5 linked regions of the Oryzias latipes genome follow. Each later gene encodes a partner of the first gene's protein in a complex. Links are inferred from orthologs where the notes say so. Each region holds a gene or a part of one and is shown on either strand. Other genes may lie near its edges.

Region 1 (2,873 bases):
TTTAAAGCGCCCAAAAGTCAGATTTAAAAATATTGCCAGAAGTGACCTGAAGGATCTGCAGGAGTCCGACAAACTGGAACCGAGGAACAACCTCACCTGGCTGTGTCCTGGTCCCTCCTCTGCTGAGCTCGGTTCAGAGCGGTCTGCATCAGTTTGTACCACCTTCGCAGGTTAAACTGGGCCCCTGTCAGAGAGAAAGCATGAGCTTGAAGAGCCCCCACCAAGAGGACTCACACACAGGGGGCACTCACGGACCCTCTCCGTCTGTGGACCTGGCGTTGTTGGACAGCTCCCTGAAACCAGGAGAACCGCAGTGAGACGACCTGTCTGTGGAATGGATGTAGGGGGGTGGGGAGGGCAGGGCAGGGGGGGTTACCATTCGGTGTGGTCGTCCAGGCCAAAGAGGAGCTTCATGGTGACGATAATGAGCGCTGCCGCCTGCAGGTCGTACCGGGGCAGGGTGGGCTGGGACTCGGGGTGGAACGTCTGGCGGCTTTCATGGAACAAACCTGCGAGCTCCGCCACTCTGCAGACCCACCTGTGCAGCTCACCTGCAGACAGGAAGGAGCCGCTCAGCCCGCGCAGCATGCATGTCTGTCTGTCAGCTGGGACGGAGGAAGCTGTTACCGGGCAGGTTTGCATCGATCAGGTAGCGCAGGCTCAGTGGCCCCGGGTGGAGCAGAGTCTGCTGGCTGATGGGAGGAAACGCTGGAAGTTGCAGGAACAGAAGCAGATCCTGAGCCTCCTTATGCAGCGAGCGGTGAGACGGTACCGTCTGCAGAGACAGTTCACCACATCGTCAACAAACAGGAGAACACAGGGCAGAGGTCAGCAGCTCACTCACTCCAGGTCGTTACCTCTGCAGTAAACAGAAGAGCATCTTTGCCGAACAGCTTCATCTGCTCTGGGAGCTGCTCATGGGCCTTCACATACGGGACGCTTCCACAGTTCACCAGTCTGAGAGCAAACACAGGATCAGCCCAACATCCAGCAGTCCAACGCCTGGTTTGGAGGAGCAGATTACCCAAGCAGGTCGCTGAGAGTCAGCGCCTCCCGGCTCCAGACCAAGGCCAAGTGGATCAGGGCCAGAGTCTTCTTCAGGCTCAGGAGTCTATGGCTCCGCCTCTGACGGGGAGTCAGGTAACAGAGGCTGTCCGCTGATCCAGACCAGTCACTGCCTGAGGGATTAGGCTACATTTCAACATACAATACTCACAATACGTCATGGATATTGTGAAAAAAACAACAAACTCAGTGGATGTGATATACACAGAGACGTGGTGAGCGATACGCCGAGGTCAAAGGTCCTCAGGGTTGGCTTTGGGGAAGGAGGTGTAACAGTCTGGACAGGTATCACCAGTCAGGGTCAAACTGATTTGGTTATTGTAAATGACCCAGTCACTGAATGTTCTAACCTCAGAGACATCATAGAACCATTCTCATCCCCCAATTCCACCAGAACACCCCCAGCTTTCTGTTCATGGATGATTACACCCTATCACATGGTACCAGTACTGTCACAGCAGGACTTCAGGAAGTGGGAGTAGCTCATGTGGTATGACCAGCAATGACCCTTGACCTGAAACCCATAGAGAACGTCTGGGACCAGCTGAAGCAGACTGGATGATGGTATCCCACCCCCAAGTGAGCTGCAGAACTACATGCAGCACTTATGGAAGATTGGTTCAGACCAACACCATGAGGTTGGTGAGGAGACGTCACTGTCAAGCTGCTGTTGATGCAAATGCTGCAAATACCCACTATTGACATTTCTGTTATTTGGGGCTATTTTTATTATTGTCCTCATTTTAGGGGTAATATTAACCTAATGAAAATGTTTTTTTCTCATTAATTTTTAGTTATTAGTAATATCTCCAACTTTCTGTCAGTAGTCTAATTCAATAATTAGATAATAATAATAATTCACTCATTTCAAAGTCAGACCCCCCTGTAGTCCCCCAGACGGCAGAGATCTGAGGTCTGGCGTCTCCATAGTCCAGTGACCAAAGACTTCATGGCTGACCCCAGCTGCTCCTGCTGGGGGAGTCAAACATACCTCCTTTAGAGCTGGGGCTGCTGCAGGGATTTGACTCTCCATCCGTCCCGCTGGCTGATGCCACAGACGCCTCGGCTGCGCTGTCTGAATCCGAGTCTGCGTCTCCCTGGGGGGGGGGGGGACAGAACAGAAGGCTGCTGCAGTCATCATCACTCTTCCTCTGAAGACATTTATGTTTGTTCCTGCATTTGAGTGGATCTAAAAATTCAGACTAAACTGATATCCCTCCAGTTATGAAAAAGCATGGAGAGCATATGAATAAATAAACATCCGTGTTAGTACTCATTGAAATCATGTATATGATTATCTCAGCACAGATTTTCAAAGGAAGGTGAGTCACAGACTGAAACTGACCACTCTGAACTTGGCGCTCCTAACTCGGTTGACGCAGTAAGCCTGCCGGCTCTTCTGCAAGTAGAGCCTCCACAGCTGACGCAGCACGCCGTCCTAAAGCGGCGAGCCACACACTGATCAGACGGGCTCAGGCATCGATGGCAGATCAATACGGACAGATTCAGACCTTGAAGTGAGGATGGACTCCCAGCCTAAGCAGGGCATCCGCCTGGTTCATCAGGATGAACTGGAAACCTTCACAGACCATCCATGTGTGACGGCCACCTGAACGACACAGAACACGTGTGAGACAAAGAAACACAAACGTTTCAGATGGGCACTGCCATCAAACTGAGAGGAACCCAAAAGCATTTTCAAAGATCTAAAACTGGAAACGAAGCAAATGTCTGAATGAGAGTTCCAGAGTTTAGAAGCAACAAGGATTCATGGAGGAGCCTGAAGATCAGAGGATGCTGGAGGAAGA
Region 2 (4,183 bases), on another chromosome or scaffold:
TGAGCACTGGTTTTTCCTCCAGCGCCGCGCGTCTCTCTGCCAGGGCAAACACTCCCTTTGAACAATGCCGACCTGTTGAGCTGCTTCATTCACATGGTTCCGTGGATAAACTCAGAGAGAGCCTCCGTCTGTTTTCTGACGGCTTCACCAAATCCACAAGGGCTGTAGCCTCAAGGAAAATAAAGACCCGCTGACATCAAAGCTGCATCAATCAAACACCACATGATTCTTGAAGTTTAATCAACTGATTTGGTTCTTTTTTTAAATGACCAAAACTGACCATTTTTTCCCTGACTATGACTCATGCTGACATTAAAACTTTAATAATAACAGTCAGAAACCGTGAAATTATCATAAAAAAAGACTTTATTTATAACAATAAAACAGATGATCTCTGATCAAAATCAACACTTGGAATACTTACAACAAAAGTTCAGTTTGTTAAAAAAATGTGTTTAAACAAAGTTATGTCTCCCCCTACTGGCTCATGCTTGCAAAGCAGGTTTTAAAATGACTGCATTTGCTGCTTCTGTTTGGTATCATCGAAGCTCTGAAGTTCAGCTGAAAGTCCAGGTTTGTTTAGTCGGTAATGATGAGCTCATCACAGCCCCAGTCCTCGTAGCTGCCGTCGGGGAGGTACCTGCGGATGATGATGGGGATCTTTCTGCTCCTGTTCAGAACAAACGGCAAACATTGAGTTACCAGGAACAAAACAAGATGAAAGAATTTAGACAGAAATGGAATAATCTGATGTACTTTAGTTCCTTCATGGCGATCTGCAAGGGGTCTGTTTCTCCCTCCAACTCGACCATCACAGGAGCGCACATGCTGTCGGCAGAACAACGACAAAATCCTCAAAATAAATCCCAAATTGAAGTAAAATGTCATTATTTTAAAGCCAGAAAACAGGCGGGGCAGAGGATTCATGGACTGTTCATTCACACACACACTTTTCAAACCAGTGTGTCCTTAAACGGCCCAAACACAAAAACACAGAGATGTCAACAACCAGGTTCAAACCCAGAACCTGCCTTCAAAGCTGCAAAACTGAGAAATGTAATTCAGTGTCATTTTGACAAAATGAGATGCAAAGATTTTTTTGTTTGTCCCTGAAACACGTGATCTGCAGCAACCAGTTGGGACCTCGTGATGGGCCCATAGCACAGCTGGGGGGCTTTTCTCTAGCTGGGCCAGGGCGTGCATTCTCCATGCTCCTGTGACTCCTTGCTCTTTGGTGCTGGGGACTATTTCGGCAGTCCCTCCTCTGGTATGGATGGCTGGTATCGGGTCACTGGGGTGGTGGATTCCCTCCTGGCTGTGGTGGTCCTGGCTGCCGCTACTGCCTCACCTCATTCTGGGGGGCTTGGTGTGGGACGACCAGGTGCTCCCCCCCTTTTTTTTATTCATTACGCTTCATACCATCATTGTCCACAGTAGAACACAGACAAAAAAACTAAGCACCAATGCCCACTCACCTTGGCTCAGAAAAGGACTTTTGTATGAGATTGTATCTGCTTTTATGCAAATGAAGGTGCATATTTATCTGATCTCTATCTGTGTTGTGTACATGACAATATGCAAGAGTGAAGGTTTTTGAGGGCAACAGGAATGTTTATAATATTCAGTGTGTGCGATAAACATAAACATCTAATTGTGAAAGTTATAAATAACCTCTAGCAACGTTTTGTCTCTTTTTGTTTGCAATGGTGTGTTTCTTTGGTGACTCTCCAACTTCTATATGTCCTTTTCTATCTTGTCCCCCCCATCCCTAATATCCCACTATCCTTCTCCGTTTTCTCCGGTCCAAAAAGGAATGGACACAAGTCCATCATTTTTCTAAAACCGGCCTATTGTAGATCAGGGTCTGAAGGAGCCTATCCTAGCTGTTTTGGGGCAAAGATGGGGTACATGCAGCATAGTTCAATAAGCACAAATATTAATAAAATAAAGTTAAGCCTCAATACAAAAAGGTTTGTAGTGACATAAACCTCCTCTGCCCAAAGCTTCAAAACTCCTATGGTAACATTACAATCTGTCCAACACCAGGGGCCTTCAGCTCTCATCTGTTTGATCAGCTGCTCCACACGACAAATTAGCAAAATAAAATAAGAAGAACAACAAAGCCACAAATGTTTGGAAGCCTAACTTATTGGTTTAGAAGAGTAAAGCGCTTATTTTACAGTAAACAACTCACGCTATTTGGAGGGCTCGTGTTCCCAGCACTCTCGCTCTCTCATATTTGGTCATGTGCGGTGTTGTAATCCTTTTCTGGTTAGCCTGCTGCCCCTCTCCTGCGGGGAGGATCTGTACGTTCTCCTGGTCCTCCTGATGATCATCCAAGGAAAACAAGCATCTGATTAGACTGCCAGATAGAAATCATGAATAATGAACCCCAAATATGATCCACTAAATGAAAAAAGTGCAGACGAACATACATCTTCCACGTTTTCCAGATCGTCTAATCCTTCGTCCTCATCGGCGTCCTCAAAGTCTCCATCATCAAAGCTGCAAATGTTGACAAAAACTGTATCAAAGACCGAAAACGGTGAAGTCGTAACCTAGCTTAGCTAACAGGCTACACGCTAAAATAGATTTAAAATTAACATATACCATGACATTATTTGATGAACATAGATCACAACTTACTTGTCTTCGTTATCAGACATGTTTTAACTTATATTTTTTCCAATATAGATACTAATAGAGTTTATTAGCAGCAAATTTAATTTAGAGGCTAAACCACATTGAGCGTTGTGGTCTCTAAACTTCCGGTGCGCGTGTACGCTGAAAAATTATGTCCGGCTTCTCAACTAGAATTTCTTTTTTTGTCCTACCTTTTTCTAATTCAATTTAAAAACAAGCAAACAAATAGTATATAAAAAGCTTACTTTCTATTATAGTCAAGTATCCTAAACAAAATAAACTTCAACTAGAAATAAATATAAATCCATCAAACTATGGAAAACCAAGGCTGTACCTTTAGAGAAAAAGAAGACACCAAAATGATAGTTTTCAACATTTATTTTAATGTACCCTTGAGAGAAAATGAATACTAATAATTCTTAATTTTTTGCCCTGCATTTATAGAAAACGAGTAACAATGGCATGTCACTTAGTGCAAAGTTAAAGAACAGAATTGGGTCAACCGAATGCGAAAAAACATTCAGAGCTAAGGCTGGATTCTGTTTTTTTTACTCTTCATCTAATATATTTTCCTACGTGATCAAATGAAAAGATATTCACAATAAACAACATAAAAATGTTTTTGCAAGTGCTTTCCTGTCTTATGTAAGAATACTCATTGCAAGAAGTAGTCTATTTAAGTGTACTACAAGTATACTTATAAATGTGAGGCAGTATACTTGACGTTTATTTTTTTAAAATATAATGTCAAGATAAAATCTAGATATTGTAAACTTAAAATTTCCAATTTCCAGTCTCAAGAAATATTCTGTTAGTATACTTCATCTCTACACTACATGAACATGGTCTTTAGTACAGCGTACTTGCTTTATACTTATATTCAAGCAAACTTAAAAAAATAAAAGCGTCAACTTTTTGCTAGGGTTAAGCTCAAACAGCTGGCACTTTGTCAAAGAACAGATCCATTTAGATTCTTCACTTATTTAATAAAATGTGTCTATACAAAAGAGATTTCTTTTAAAACAATTCTTCATTACCTATTTTATAAATATAGCAGTGGATGGGTAAGAATTTCTAAACACAAAAAGGAAGAAATGTTCACGTTTTTAACAACAAAATTAATCCTGTTTGTTGGTTACACATAAACTTTTTTTTTTCAAATATAGCCCAACTATGAAATATGCAATTGATTCTTTGTTAATTTAGTAAACAACAAGTTGCAATAATTTACAATAAAAGTGAACATTTGACAGGAGATTCTTGTCACAACCTTTTAAAAAAATGTCACTTGTAAAATTGCTCTCTTTCACAGTTTTCTATACATTTTCTGATGAACCCCTTTAACCAAATTACTAAAAAAAACTAAAAAGTAAATATAGCAAAAGATAGTGCAGGAATCTGCATGGCTGATTTTGTCTCAGAAGAAATCTGTAGGACAACAACTTTAAGCATTTTCTAGTGATGCAGGTTTGGAAAAATATTTTTCTTAAAACAGGGTTTTAAAAAAGTGGTAAAAAAATAACATCAGTAGGAATTGGTT
Region 3 (3,992 bases), on another chromosome or scaffold:
AGAGTTTTTGTAAGAGTTTACTTTTATGCCAAATAGCTTGCCTGCTTGTGCATCTCCTGTGGATAATAGATGAGGGGGGCAGTTATTAAAAAGGCTTTAGAGAGAGATTGGGGGGGGGGGGGGGGTATAGGTATGATGGAGAGCTACTGAGGCCCAGGAGGACCAAACTAGACCAAGGAGGTTGAACTGTTTTTTTCTAAATGCTGCTGGCAACTTAACAGGGCAGTTGTGGTGCAGAAGTAGAGCGGTCAACCCCTGATCAAGAGGTTGCAGGTTTAATTCCCACCCTACCCGCCCATGTGTCCAAGGTTAAGACACTGAACCCCACCTTGCTTCTGGGGGTTATAGGTTGGCAACATGGTTTGGTAGCTGAGCCACAATCAGTGTGTGTGTTCATGGGTGAATGGAACTGTGACTGTAAAATGCTCCAAGAAGATAGTTAAGGGGCTAAATAAGTATACGCCGTTTACCATTCTGCTTCAATAAATCAACAAAAAGAACATGTCAGATACCAAGAGCGTTCTTTATCATTTAAAGAACAATTTAACAGCCATGTGAGATGTAAGTTGAAGCCTTACTGGATACAACAGTTCAAATTTGGTAGAATACTTTATAAAAACATAGGATGACAGTTTTCTGGTCTTTGACAAGAGTTTTAAAGAAATTAATCAAACTATAAAGAGATCATTTTCTGAGAAAATGCGCGCAAGTACTAACAGCTGTCCAGTTGAGAATCAGGGTATGCTTCAGGAAAAATAAATATAAACAGCTGATACAGTTTTATTGTTTCTGGTTAGTTTGCTGAGTTGCTGTCCTGCTCCTTCACTTTAGTTGACTTGTGTAAAATGTATACCTGATTGTCCTGAGCCTCCGTGGCTGCAGTTTAAATCTGAGACATCGATTCCTGTTTTTTTTCTTGTAGAGTCCCGATGAACTGACCAGTGTCATGTGTGACAAAGGTGGAGAGGACCAACACGTGCACCAGAACATGCACAAGTTCAGTTTAACAAACAGAAACAGCTCATCACTACAAAAAAGCAGCTCCCTGGATCAAAACAGAACCAGAGTTGAGGTGATTGTGATCAGATAGTAAGCAAAAGCTTTTCTCAGGAGTCCTCCTTTTCCTGGAACCTGAAACAAGACAAAGACCGGTCAGCTCCAGAACCGTACAGCAGGACAGGAGGGTCACGCTGACGCCACCTACCTGCAGTGGATGCAGGTGAAGAAGACCGTCTGTCCTTCATCTGCAGATCTCATCTGCCTAGTGTGGTAGATCATGCCTTCCTTATTGCAGCGAGTGCAGCGTCGGTCAATCTGCAAGCAAGGCAAGAAGCAAACCGTGAGGCGTTACCGCGACAACGAACGCTCCACTGCTGAGCGGACGGCTGCTTTTACCACAGGGCCCTTCAGCTCTGAGTTCTCCTCATCCTCCAGAGCCAGCAAGGTCTGCTCAGCGGGGTTGAAGATAACCCCAGACTGAATTTCTCTTCCCAAGAACTCTGCAGAGCAAAAGCAGCACAGTTAGAGGATTGGACAGATTAGACCTGTTAGAGAGACATCAGGAGAACCCTTTTGTCAGTGCAGACTGGCTCAAATAATTTCATGAAAGCATTAAGAGTAACTTTCAGCAACAGAGTTCTTCTGAATCCTCAACATCCTTCCCATGACCTGTGATAGTGTCACGTGGTAAAGGACACATGTATGAGCTGCCAGTGGATCTCCAACCCCAATATGAGGCCTTCCCAGGGAGGAGGAGTGAGCCCAGCAGAGGTTACTGTCTCATCACTGCTCCACAGACCGGCTGAGGAAGAAATTCAATGACTGATGTTGATCATATGCTAAATTGATTTGTCTGAAATGTTTCATTTGAGCAGTTTTAGGTGGTTGCTTTTTATTTCCCATTCTTGTTAAAGCATACTAGTCATTAAGAAAGGAGGGCAGTCAAATCAGAGAAACTAAAAAATCAAGGAAGAACTTACACATAATGTGAACTTAAAGGTAGTTGCTGATCAAAAACAAATAAAAAATGGAGGGAAATGTCAGACTGAGTGCCTCATTTTCAGTAAACCGGTAGTTTTGACTGTACTCTTGGTGCTTAAAAGCCATTCGGTTCTTGAGGGACATGAACCAGCAGCAGAGCAGGCAGACTCTCATGGCGGCGTGGACCGCTTACCTGTCACGGGCGTGCAGAGACAGCAGCGAGGGCAGCGCACCGTGTCGGACAGTCCTGGCAACGGCAGGACGCTGCCACAATCCTGACAGAAGTTGGGGTCGCGGCCGTTTGAAGACATTTGCTCTGGTTCTGAGGAAGCGCGGCGGCTATGTTCAGAGCACGTGACACAACAACAGTCCGACAGACAGATAGCTAACACATCATGCTAACTTGCAGGCACGTGGGTGGGCGCGCGCGGGCTCTCGGAGGAGTGATTTGAGGATAATTACCTGATCGATGGCTGTTTGCACAAAAACAGACAATAATTTACTTTCTCCTCGCCCGCATTGGGTGTTGTTGTGCGCTCTTCTTCTTCATGTTAACTAGAAGATGGTAATGTCACGTAAACACGAGCGCCTCGTAGTGGACAGAAATGTGAATGACACCATTGTAGTTTTCCTTCATTTGACCCTAAATTTTAAGGATGTTCCAACGTTTTACAACTCAAAAGACCTTATTTATTCGTAGTTGACTCTTATAAATTCATCACTTACTACTGTTGTAAGTTATATGAAGGTTTTAGACTACTGTAACTTTATAAGTGTGTTTTAATCCAGATATTTTCACCTCTAATGTTTCAGTTAGCCAAAAATCGAATTAATAAATGTCATTTTGTTTCCTTTCTCGCAAATGTTTGATGGTTTTTCTGTCTTTTTAAATCCATTATTTTAAAAAAAATAATTTTAAAATGTATTTAGCAAATTAAGCACTTAGCTTGCATCAAATTCCTTTGGTTGCTCAACATATTTAGTTGTTTTTTTGTTATTTCTCACAGCAGTATTATCTTGTAATATTGCATTTGTGGCATTGTTCATTATTGAGTTTTTCTAATAATTTCAGATGTTTAGCAAATTTAGGAATTATCAGTTCACCTGGGAGCTTTTGCATTTAAGTATTCAAGCTGGCAACAATTTAATTGAATAGCCTCCTTTATTTTTCCTAGGAATTAATGCTTTTCCTGGTAAATCCTGTTTGTACTTCTGGCCACAATTGCATATCTACATGTAGTTTTTTGCAGTTTCCTCTCAAATAATTGTAATTAAATTCCGATCTGTAAAAAATTGAGCCTCCAGTTTCACACACAAGGCAATTAATCCGTATTTATATCTTTGCCCACAGCCTCAAGACAAAATTAGATTTAAACAAGGTTTTTAAAAATAAATTACAACCTGATAAAATAAAAACAACCTGCTTGCCTATTTAAATCGACATAAATTGGCAAGCAGGGGGCATAAAACAACTAGAGCACATAATTATTGATAGTAGATTCATAACTCCCCAGGAACTTCAAGACAAACATGGAATAAATAACTTCTTGGAATATCAGCAACTTAAATCAATTATTACTAAAAAGTTTAAATACAGAGACAACGATTTCAAGCTACCAGACGTAGTTACCACTCTGATTAATTTCTCAATGAAAAAAACTCTCTCCAAAATATACAAACTTTTATGTAATTTAGATAATAATATTTCACTTCCGACAACAAAATGGGATGCGGATTTGAGCATCAGCACAGATTAAAGCTTCTGGTCAGAACTTTGTCTAAACACCTTTAAACTGACCAAAAGTCCAAATCTGCAGCTAATCCATTTCAAAACTCTTCACAGAATTTACTACACTGGACAGAGGATGGTCAAGATGGGTTTCAGTAACTCAGACATTTGTGAGCACTGTGAAAGTAATCTACCCGACAGTTACATGCATGCACTATGGTTCTGCACGCCTGTCCAGGCTCTCTGGCAGCAGGTATGTGCCGATCTATCAGTCTGGCTTAAG
Region 4 (2,418 bases), on another chromosome or scaffold:
AATGCTTCGACCGTTCAATGTGGAACCACCCACTCTTATTAAGTCATGTGATTGGTCAGTTTATAACTTGAAAAAGTTGCGCTACAACAAAAATATGGGAAAAAAATAGGATTGTCAAGAAAATGTTTTAAAAAAAATTTTACAGACAAAGAAGGATTATTTGGACCAACAGAATGACTGAGTAACAGCTTTTCATTTTAGATTCTTGGAGTCAGAAGCTACTTCCTGTTTGGAACGCCAGGGGGAGGGGCCACTCAGTCTAGTTCTCTAATTGGCTACAGACCTTGTCAATGAATCTCCTCTGTGTTGTGTCTTCTGGACAGAAAGTGTTCAGTTTTGCCAAATTTTCATAAATATTTAATCGCGATCAGATCTTTGTTTTTATTCTGAAATCCTGGTCTCTCTTTTTTTCTATTTTTAGAGCGTATCCCCCCGGGATACATGAGGGAAGGCTGTACTGTAAATGTTATGACCTTGACTTTTAAATCTTAAAGTTCTAGTTTCATGTTCCTCGTCTTTAACACTGCAGGAGAGAATGACTGCATGGCTGGTGTCTGTGAAGCTGTCCTTTGACAAAAGAGGATCCAAAGTGTTTGCAAGGGGATGGAGCACAGAAAATGTCATAAAGATGCTGAACATGGGCTCTGATGTCACCAAACCTTTTGAATATCTCTTGGCTACTGGAAACCTAAATTCTAAGACGGGTGCATATCCACACTCTTTATATATATATTTTTAAACTTCAATAGTTGCTTTGTTCTAAATGTTTTCTTTCACAGGTCTCGGCATGCTGCAGAACTCGGGCCTCTGCGTTGTCGCTGACAAGCTGAACTTCATCCGCTACCTTTCTCACTTCCGCTGTGTGCACAGAGGAGCAGCGTTCGCCAAGATGAGGACCACCTCAGTCCGTAAGCTGCTGCCCGAGTCCTGGGGCTTCCTGTGTCCCGTCCACACTCCAGACGGAGAGCCTTGTGGACTCATGAACCACATGACTGCCAGCTGTGAGGTGGTGGCAGCATCCAGTCCCACCACGTCGCTGCCTGCACTGCTCTGTTCCCTCGGTAAGCTCCAAACATTTTTACAAAGTGCACATTGCTCCTCAGCGGCTGAAAATGGAAATGGTCCTGTTTTCGGTGTGTGAGGTGTTACTCCGGTGGATGGTACTCCTGCTCAGGCCTTCTCTGACTGCTACCCTGTGGTGTTGGATGGCTCTGTTGTTGGCTGGGTGGAGACCGACTTGGCTCCAGCTGTTGTTGATGCAATGCGGAGGTTCAAGGTACGAGAAGGATGTTAGACAAGTAGTGACCTTGGAAGCAGAAACCTGATGACTAACGTGTGTGCAGGTGCTGAGGGAGAGGAAGGTTCCTCCCTGGACTGAGATCGTCCTGGTTCCTAAAACTGGAAAAGCCAGCTTGTATCCAGGTCTGTTCCTCTTCACAACACCTTGCCGGATGATGCGGCCCGTTCAAAACCTGGCTCTTGGCAAACAGGAGTTCATTGGCACCTTTGAGCAGGTATATGTTTAGCTGGTGCACGTTGAAAGACATTCTTGCCATCGAGACGGTCATCGGAGGACAGCTGTCCAAGTAAAACGGGTTTACTTTTCTGCCGTAGCTTTACACCAATGTTGGAATTTTAGAAGAGGAGATTGAAGCAGGAGTTACCACACACCAGGAGCTCTTCCCTCACAGTATGCTGAGCGTGGTGGCAAACTTCATCCCTTTCTCAGACCACAACCAGAGTCCTAGAAACATGTACCAGTGTCAGATGGGTAAGTGGGTGGGATCAGAAATGTTCATTGAAGGCTAACACCAATTTGGAGTCCAAAGTCCTGAAATTGTTGACCCTAAACTGTTTGTTTCAGGTAAACAAACGATGGGCTTCCCTCTACACTCGTTTATGGATCGCTCGGACAATAAGCTGTACCGACTACAGACGCCACAGAGCGCCCTCGTCAGGCCCTACATGTACGATCACTACAATCTGGACAACTATCCAAGCGGCACAAACGCCATCGTCGCCGTCATATCCTACACCGGCTACGACATGGAAGATGCTATGGTGAATTCAACACAATAGTTTTTACATTTCTACAGATGGGATTTGATCATCTTTTGAGCTATTTTCAAAGCATTCCCAGTAGGGATGCTACTCCATTCTGATCATCCTCTTACAGATAGATCCATGAACGTCTTTATTTTCCTCGTCTGAGCTGGAATCTGGCTCTAAACTGTACGGCTGGATAGCTCTGATATTGGTCGACATTTTTGTTTCTCTGATAATGTTAGTTAGGGGTTGTGACGGGAATTGGTTTGCCTGAGATGGTGTAAACAAAGGCATGATGGGAAATGGAGGAAGGGTCACTCTATGCCAGCGGTCCCGCCCACAACTTCAGGGTGAATTTCTGATGAACTCCTG
Region 5 (3,518 bases), on another chromosome or scaffold:
ATACACACACGTACAAACACACAAACACACACAAACACGCACGAACACACCCACACACGCACACACACACGTACATATGCACCTGTACACACACGTACAAACACGCACACACAAACACACACACAAACACGCACGAACACACACACAGGCACACACCTACACACACACACACACAAACAAGCACGCACACACCCACACATGTACACACACACCTGCACACACGCACCTATACACACACGTACAGACACGCACACACAAACACACGCCCACAAACACACACACAAACACGCACGAACACACACACAGGCACACACCCACACACGCACGCACACACCTACACATGCACCTGTACACACACGTACAAACACGCACACACAAACACACGCAAACAAACAAACACGCACGAACACACACACAGGCACACACCTACACACACACACACACACAAACAAGCACGCACACAACCACACATGTACACACACGACCACACACGTACAAACTCACACACACACATACACACACATGCACGCACACAAACACACGTGCACAGTGGTTCTGCTGCCAGACACTGGCACCAACTGGGAGTTCAGTGTTTAACTCAAGGACACTTTGACACTTGGGCAGGTAAGGCACAAAACACACTTGGGACATTCCAATTAGGTATCAGCTGCTGTCCCTCTGCGTCTGCCCCCCACCCCCCACATAATACAATAAAACTAAGACAAATGCTCAGAATGTTTGGAGAATCACATCAGTGATCCGTAAGTTTGAGACCAAAGACTCAATCTGAAGCCTTAAATGCAGCATCCCTACCTGGGATGAGGGGGGTTGGTTAAGATATGGGAGGGGTCTTGTAAAATGAAAAAACTATTGATCATCCCTCATACTCCTACATCATTAAATAGAATCAATTACCTTAGGCACTGCGTGAAAATCGACTGGCTGGTTAGTTTTTTGAACCGTGTTTTTTATCCAGTGTGAGAACAACTGACCAGTCTGAAGCTGCAGAGGTAGAAGAGGGTGAACTGCACATGTGAGGAAGCATGTGTGGGCAGGATGAGCTTGTCAAAGATGCTCAGGAGATCTCGGAACAGCTCCTTGGACCGCTCAGCATGGAAAGAGCCTGCACAGACGACAGGCACGGTGTGGATGCACACGTTTCTGTGGCTGGACCAACACATTCTAGCACAAACACCGTTACACAAGTCCAGCAATGAGACACAAAGAAACGTACTGCGTTAACATTTGATGCAGGTGGCTGAGTCTAACGGCAGTGGATGAAGGACTACACTGCACTGTGGATATCTGCTGCAGAGTCGAGACGTTTCTCTCAGAAGTGACATTTATAAGTGTTCTTTGTGTGAGGGGTCATGTGTGTTCATGGAGGGGAGTGGGTTGTCTTTTTATGTAATATTGTGTTTGTTTTTAAATGTAAAGCACTGAGGCATGAGAAGCACCCTTTTATAAAGTTTGATTTGATTTGATTTGCTGAAGCATCCAAACTGATAGCAGCTTTAAGCTTTGGTCACATGCACGTGTACGGGGGGGGGGGGGTTGATCCGAACGGGCGCTGCAGGTTTTTGGGTTGTCTGGGTCCATGGAGGGTCATTGAGAGGAACCAGTGCAGGAGTGTCCTACACTCCCCTTGAGGCGTGCACGGTCACCTCAGTGTTGTATGTGTGCTACGTGTATCATAGAGAACATCTACGGCTAATGGAAACTTGGAACACACGGGTGATGCTGTGGTACAGTGTCCTTACACCACACTCTAGTCGTCTGAAAGGTCAGAGTTCTGGCTCACCGAATGCAAATGCTGCACACACTGGCGTGCACGTGATACACAAGTGCCCGTCCGTCGGATGTTCACACAAAGTACACCGTCTAATTTCCTCATTTCCAACAGCCAGGATGTGGTAAGGAGCGCCGACTTGAAGACGTCAACCAGTCATCGGTGAACCGTGAACAGAGGACGTGAAGCAGCAGGCCGATCTATCATTGATCAGTGTGACTGTTTCCTCCTGTTGTGTGTCTGTTGTGTGTCTGACCTCTCAGGGAAACAGCTCAGTTGTTTCTCCTTTGTGTTTGCTGGAGGTCAAATGGAGCCGTTTCTTATTCTGGTGGAACATGTAGCTGTTAGCTAGGCCTACTGACGATTAACAGTCACATTCTCCCCAAACTATTTTGACCTTCGGCTTAATAAAACGTATTTCCATCTTAGTTTGACCTTATGAGACACGCTTCAGTGCTGAGGATGTCCCTTCACTTTTGTTTCAACTTTTCACAGAGATCAGTCGTTTAAATGATGTTAATTGATATGAAAACTTTGGTTGAAAAACCCTCACGAAAGTCCTGCTGAACCTGTTCCTCTCTGGAGGTTTCAAATGAACATCAGTGATCAGCCTTATAGACCACTAATCATCAGGAACGGCCCTGGGGGGAGAAATGATAAACCCTCGGTCTGTCCCAGTTTCCCTCTGGGGGGGTTTAGGAGCTGTATTCCATAAGGACCGTTGTGAGTAAGGCATTACTTTGTCTAAGGCCAACGGTGAAGAGAACAAGCAGGCAGAGCAGCAGCTCAGGGGGAATAGGGTTGATGCCGCTGATGTTCCCACATGAATCCTCTGCCTCCATCTAGTCTTCTCCTCTTCTTCACTCACACATCCATCCTCCTTAACAGCCTTCACAAATGTCCTGTGGTCTTCCTCTAGGCTCTTCCCCTGTCCAAACGTCTTCCCTGCACTGATCTCCAGAACCTCCACCATGATCTGTTCCTCTGAAGGATTTCTTCCTTCCACTTTACTCCTTTACACCTCTGAAGTAAAAGTCTTTAGCTAGAGCAGCATCCTTTCTAGATGTGATCTGCCTACCGTTAACGTGGCAGACGTCTTTGATGTAGGCCATCAGTACGGTCATCAGGGCGTCCAGCCTCTCTCCTACCGGGTGGACCGTCACCTTCATCGCCGGTGTTTGTTCCGCCGGGACGTCTTCATCCTGATGGGAAGGAGTTTTTGTTGAAGCAAAGATGTGGAGAACATCCTGACCAGAGATCCGTCTAATGTCAAACGGTTCACAGCGTTACCATGTCGAAGAGCGTCTCCTGGTCTGTGCTCTGCTCCTGAACGCCCTCCTCTGCTCCCTCCAGGTCTGCACGGGAGACACTCACCTGCAACACAGTTGTTAAGGTTAATTAGAACTATTGAGTCTATATGAGAACTGGACAGTGACTCCTCCCCCCTGGCGTTCCAAAAAGGGAGTGGCTCCAAGAAGCTGAAATGCCATGGACTCCTATAGAAACAGCTGTTCCTCAGTCATTCTGTTGATCAGAAGAACCGTTCCTGATCTGATTCTCAACATCTCCTAGACAATCCTCTGTTTTTTCATCATATTTTGTGTGAAGTTCTAGTTATTTCATTTATTAACTGACCAATCAGACGCCTCAGGAAAAGCATGTGGTCTCACATTTGACAGATTCTCCTGAGCCTGCTTTCGATGGAAGGGGTGTGGTCTTCCAACAAGCT

The links.
Region 2: taf1b (region 1) and polr2f share a complex: the UniProt entries of both Homo sapiens proteins name them as parts of the pol I pre-initiation complex. The link is inferred for Oryzias latipes from reciprocal best matches to the Homo sapiens genes TAF1B and POLR2F.
Region 3: taf1b (region 1) and znrd1 share a complex: the UniProt entries of both Homo sapiens proteins name them as parts of the pol I pre-initiation complex. The link is inferred for Oryzias latipes from reciprocal best matches to the Homo sapiens genes TAF1B and POLR1H.
Region 4: taf1b (region 1) and polr1b share a complex: the UniProt entries of both Homo sapiens proteins name them as parts of the pol I pre-initiation complex. The link is inferred for Oryzias latipes from reciprocal best matches to the Homo sapiens genes TAF1B and POLR1B.
Region 5: taf1b (region 1) and rrn3 share a complex: the UniProt entries of both Homo sapiens proteins name them as parts of the pol I pre-initiation complex. The link is inferred for Oryzias latipes from reciprocal best matches to the Homo sapiens genes TAF1B and RRN3.

What each region holds. Positions count from the first base shown.
Region 1 is NC_019882.2:22,300,531-22,303,403, forward strand, and holds part of taf1b (TATA box-binding protein-associated factor RNA polymerase I subunit B), read right to left. Parts: intron 2,675-2,873; coding exon 2,577-2,674; intron 2,504-2,576; coding exon 2,411-2,503; intron 2,163-2,410; coding exon 2,057-2,162; intron 1,179-2,056; coding exon 1,025-1,178; intron 958-1,024; coding exon 858-957; intron 776-857; coding exon 628-775; intron 552-627; coding exon 377-551; intron 294-376; coding exon 256-293; intron 185-255; coding exon 97-184; intron 1-96. UniProt on the Homo sapiens protein: Component of RNA polymerase I core factor complex that acts as a GTF2B/TFIIB-like factor and plays a key role in multiple steps during transcription initiation such as pre-initiation complex (PIC) assembly and postpolymerase recruitment events in polymerase I (Pol I) transcription.
Region 2 is NC_019866.2:19,813,543-19,817,725, reverse strand, and holds polr2f (DNA-directed RNA polymerases I, II, and III subunit RPABC2), read right to left. Parts: upstream 2,802-4,183; 5' UTR 2,667-2,801; coding exon 2,647-2,666; intron 2,506-2,646; coding exon 2,436-2,505; intron 2,326-2,435; coding exon 2,195-2,325; intron 829-2,194; coding exon 757-828; intron 671-756; coding exon 580-670; 3' UTR 349-579; downstream 1-348. UniProt on the Homo sapiens protein: DNA-dependent RNA polymerase catalyzes the transcription of DNA into RNA using the four ribonucleoside triphosphates as substrates.
Region 3 is NC_019869.2:21,549,140-21,553,131, reverse strand, and holds znrd1 (DNA-directed RNA polymerase I subunit RPA12), read right to left. Parts: upstream 2,565-3,992; 5' UTR 2,443-2,564; exon of another isoform or gene 2,303-2,442; 5' UTR 2,292-2,302; coding exon 2,174-2,291; intron 1,500-2,173; coding exon 1,396-1,499; intron 1,315-1,395; coding exon 1,205-1,314; intron 1,132-1,204; coding exon 1,107-1,131; 3' UTR 505-1,106; downstream 1-504. UniProt on the Homo sapiens protein: Core component of RNA polymerase I (Pol I), a DNA-dependent RNA polymerase which synthesizes ribosomal RNA precursors using the four ribonucleoside triphosphates as substrates. Can mediate Pol I proofreading of the nascent RNA transcript.
Region 4 is NC_019873.2:3,647,206-3,649,623, reverse strand, and holds part of polr1b (DNA-directed RNA polymerase I subunit RPA2), read left to right. Parts: intron 1-529; coding exon 530-704; intron 705-779; coding exon 780-1,061; intron 1,062-1,142; coding exon 1,143-1,276; intron 1,277-1,343; coding exon 1,344-1,514; intron 1,515-1,614; coding exon 1,615-1,771; intron 1,772-1,864; coding exon 1,865-2,061; intron 2,062-2,418. UniProt on the Homo sapiens protein: Catalytic core component of RNA polymerase I (Pol I), a DNA-dependent RNA polymerase which synthesizes ribosomal RNA precursors using the four ribonucleoside triphosphates as substrates.
Region 5 is NC_019866.2:25,533,905-25,537,422, forward strand, and holds part of rrn3 (RNA polymerase I-specific transcription initiation factor RRN3), read right to left. Parts: intron 3,164-3,518; coding exon 3,080-3,163; intron 2,992-3,079; coding exon 2,868-2,991; intron 1,124-2,867; coding exon 993-1,123; intron 1-992. UniProt on the Homo sapiens protein: Required for efficient transcription initiation by RNA polymerase I (Pol I). Required for the formation of the competent pre-initiation complex (PIC).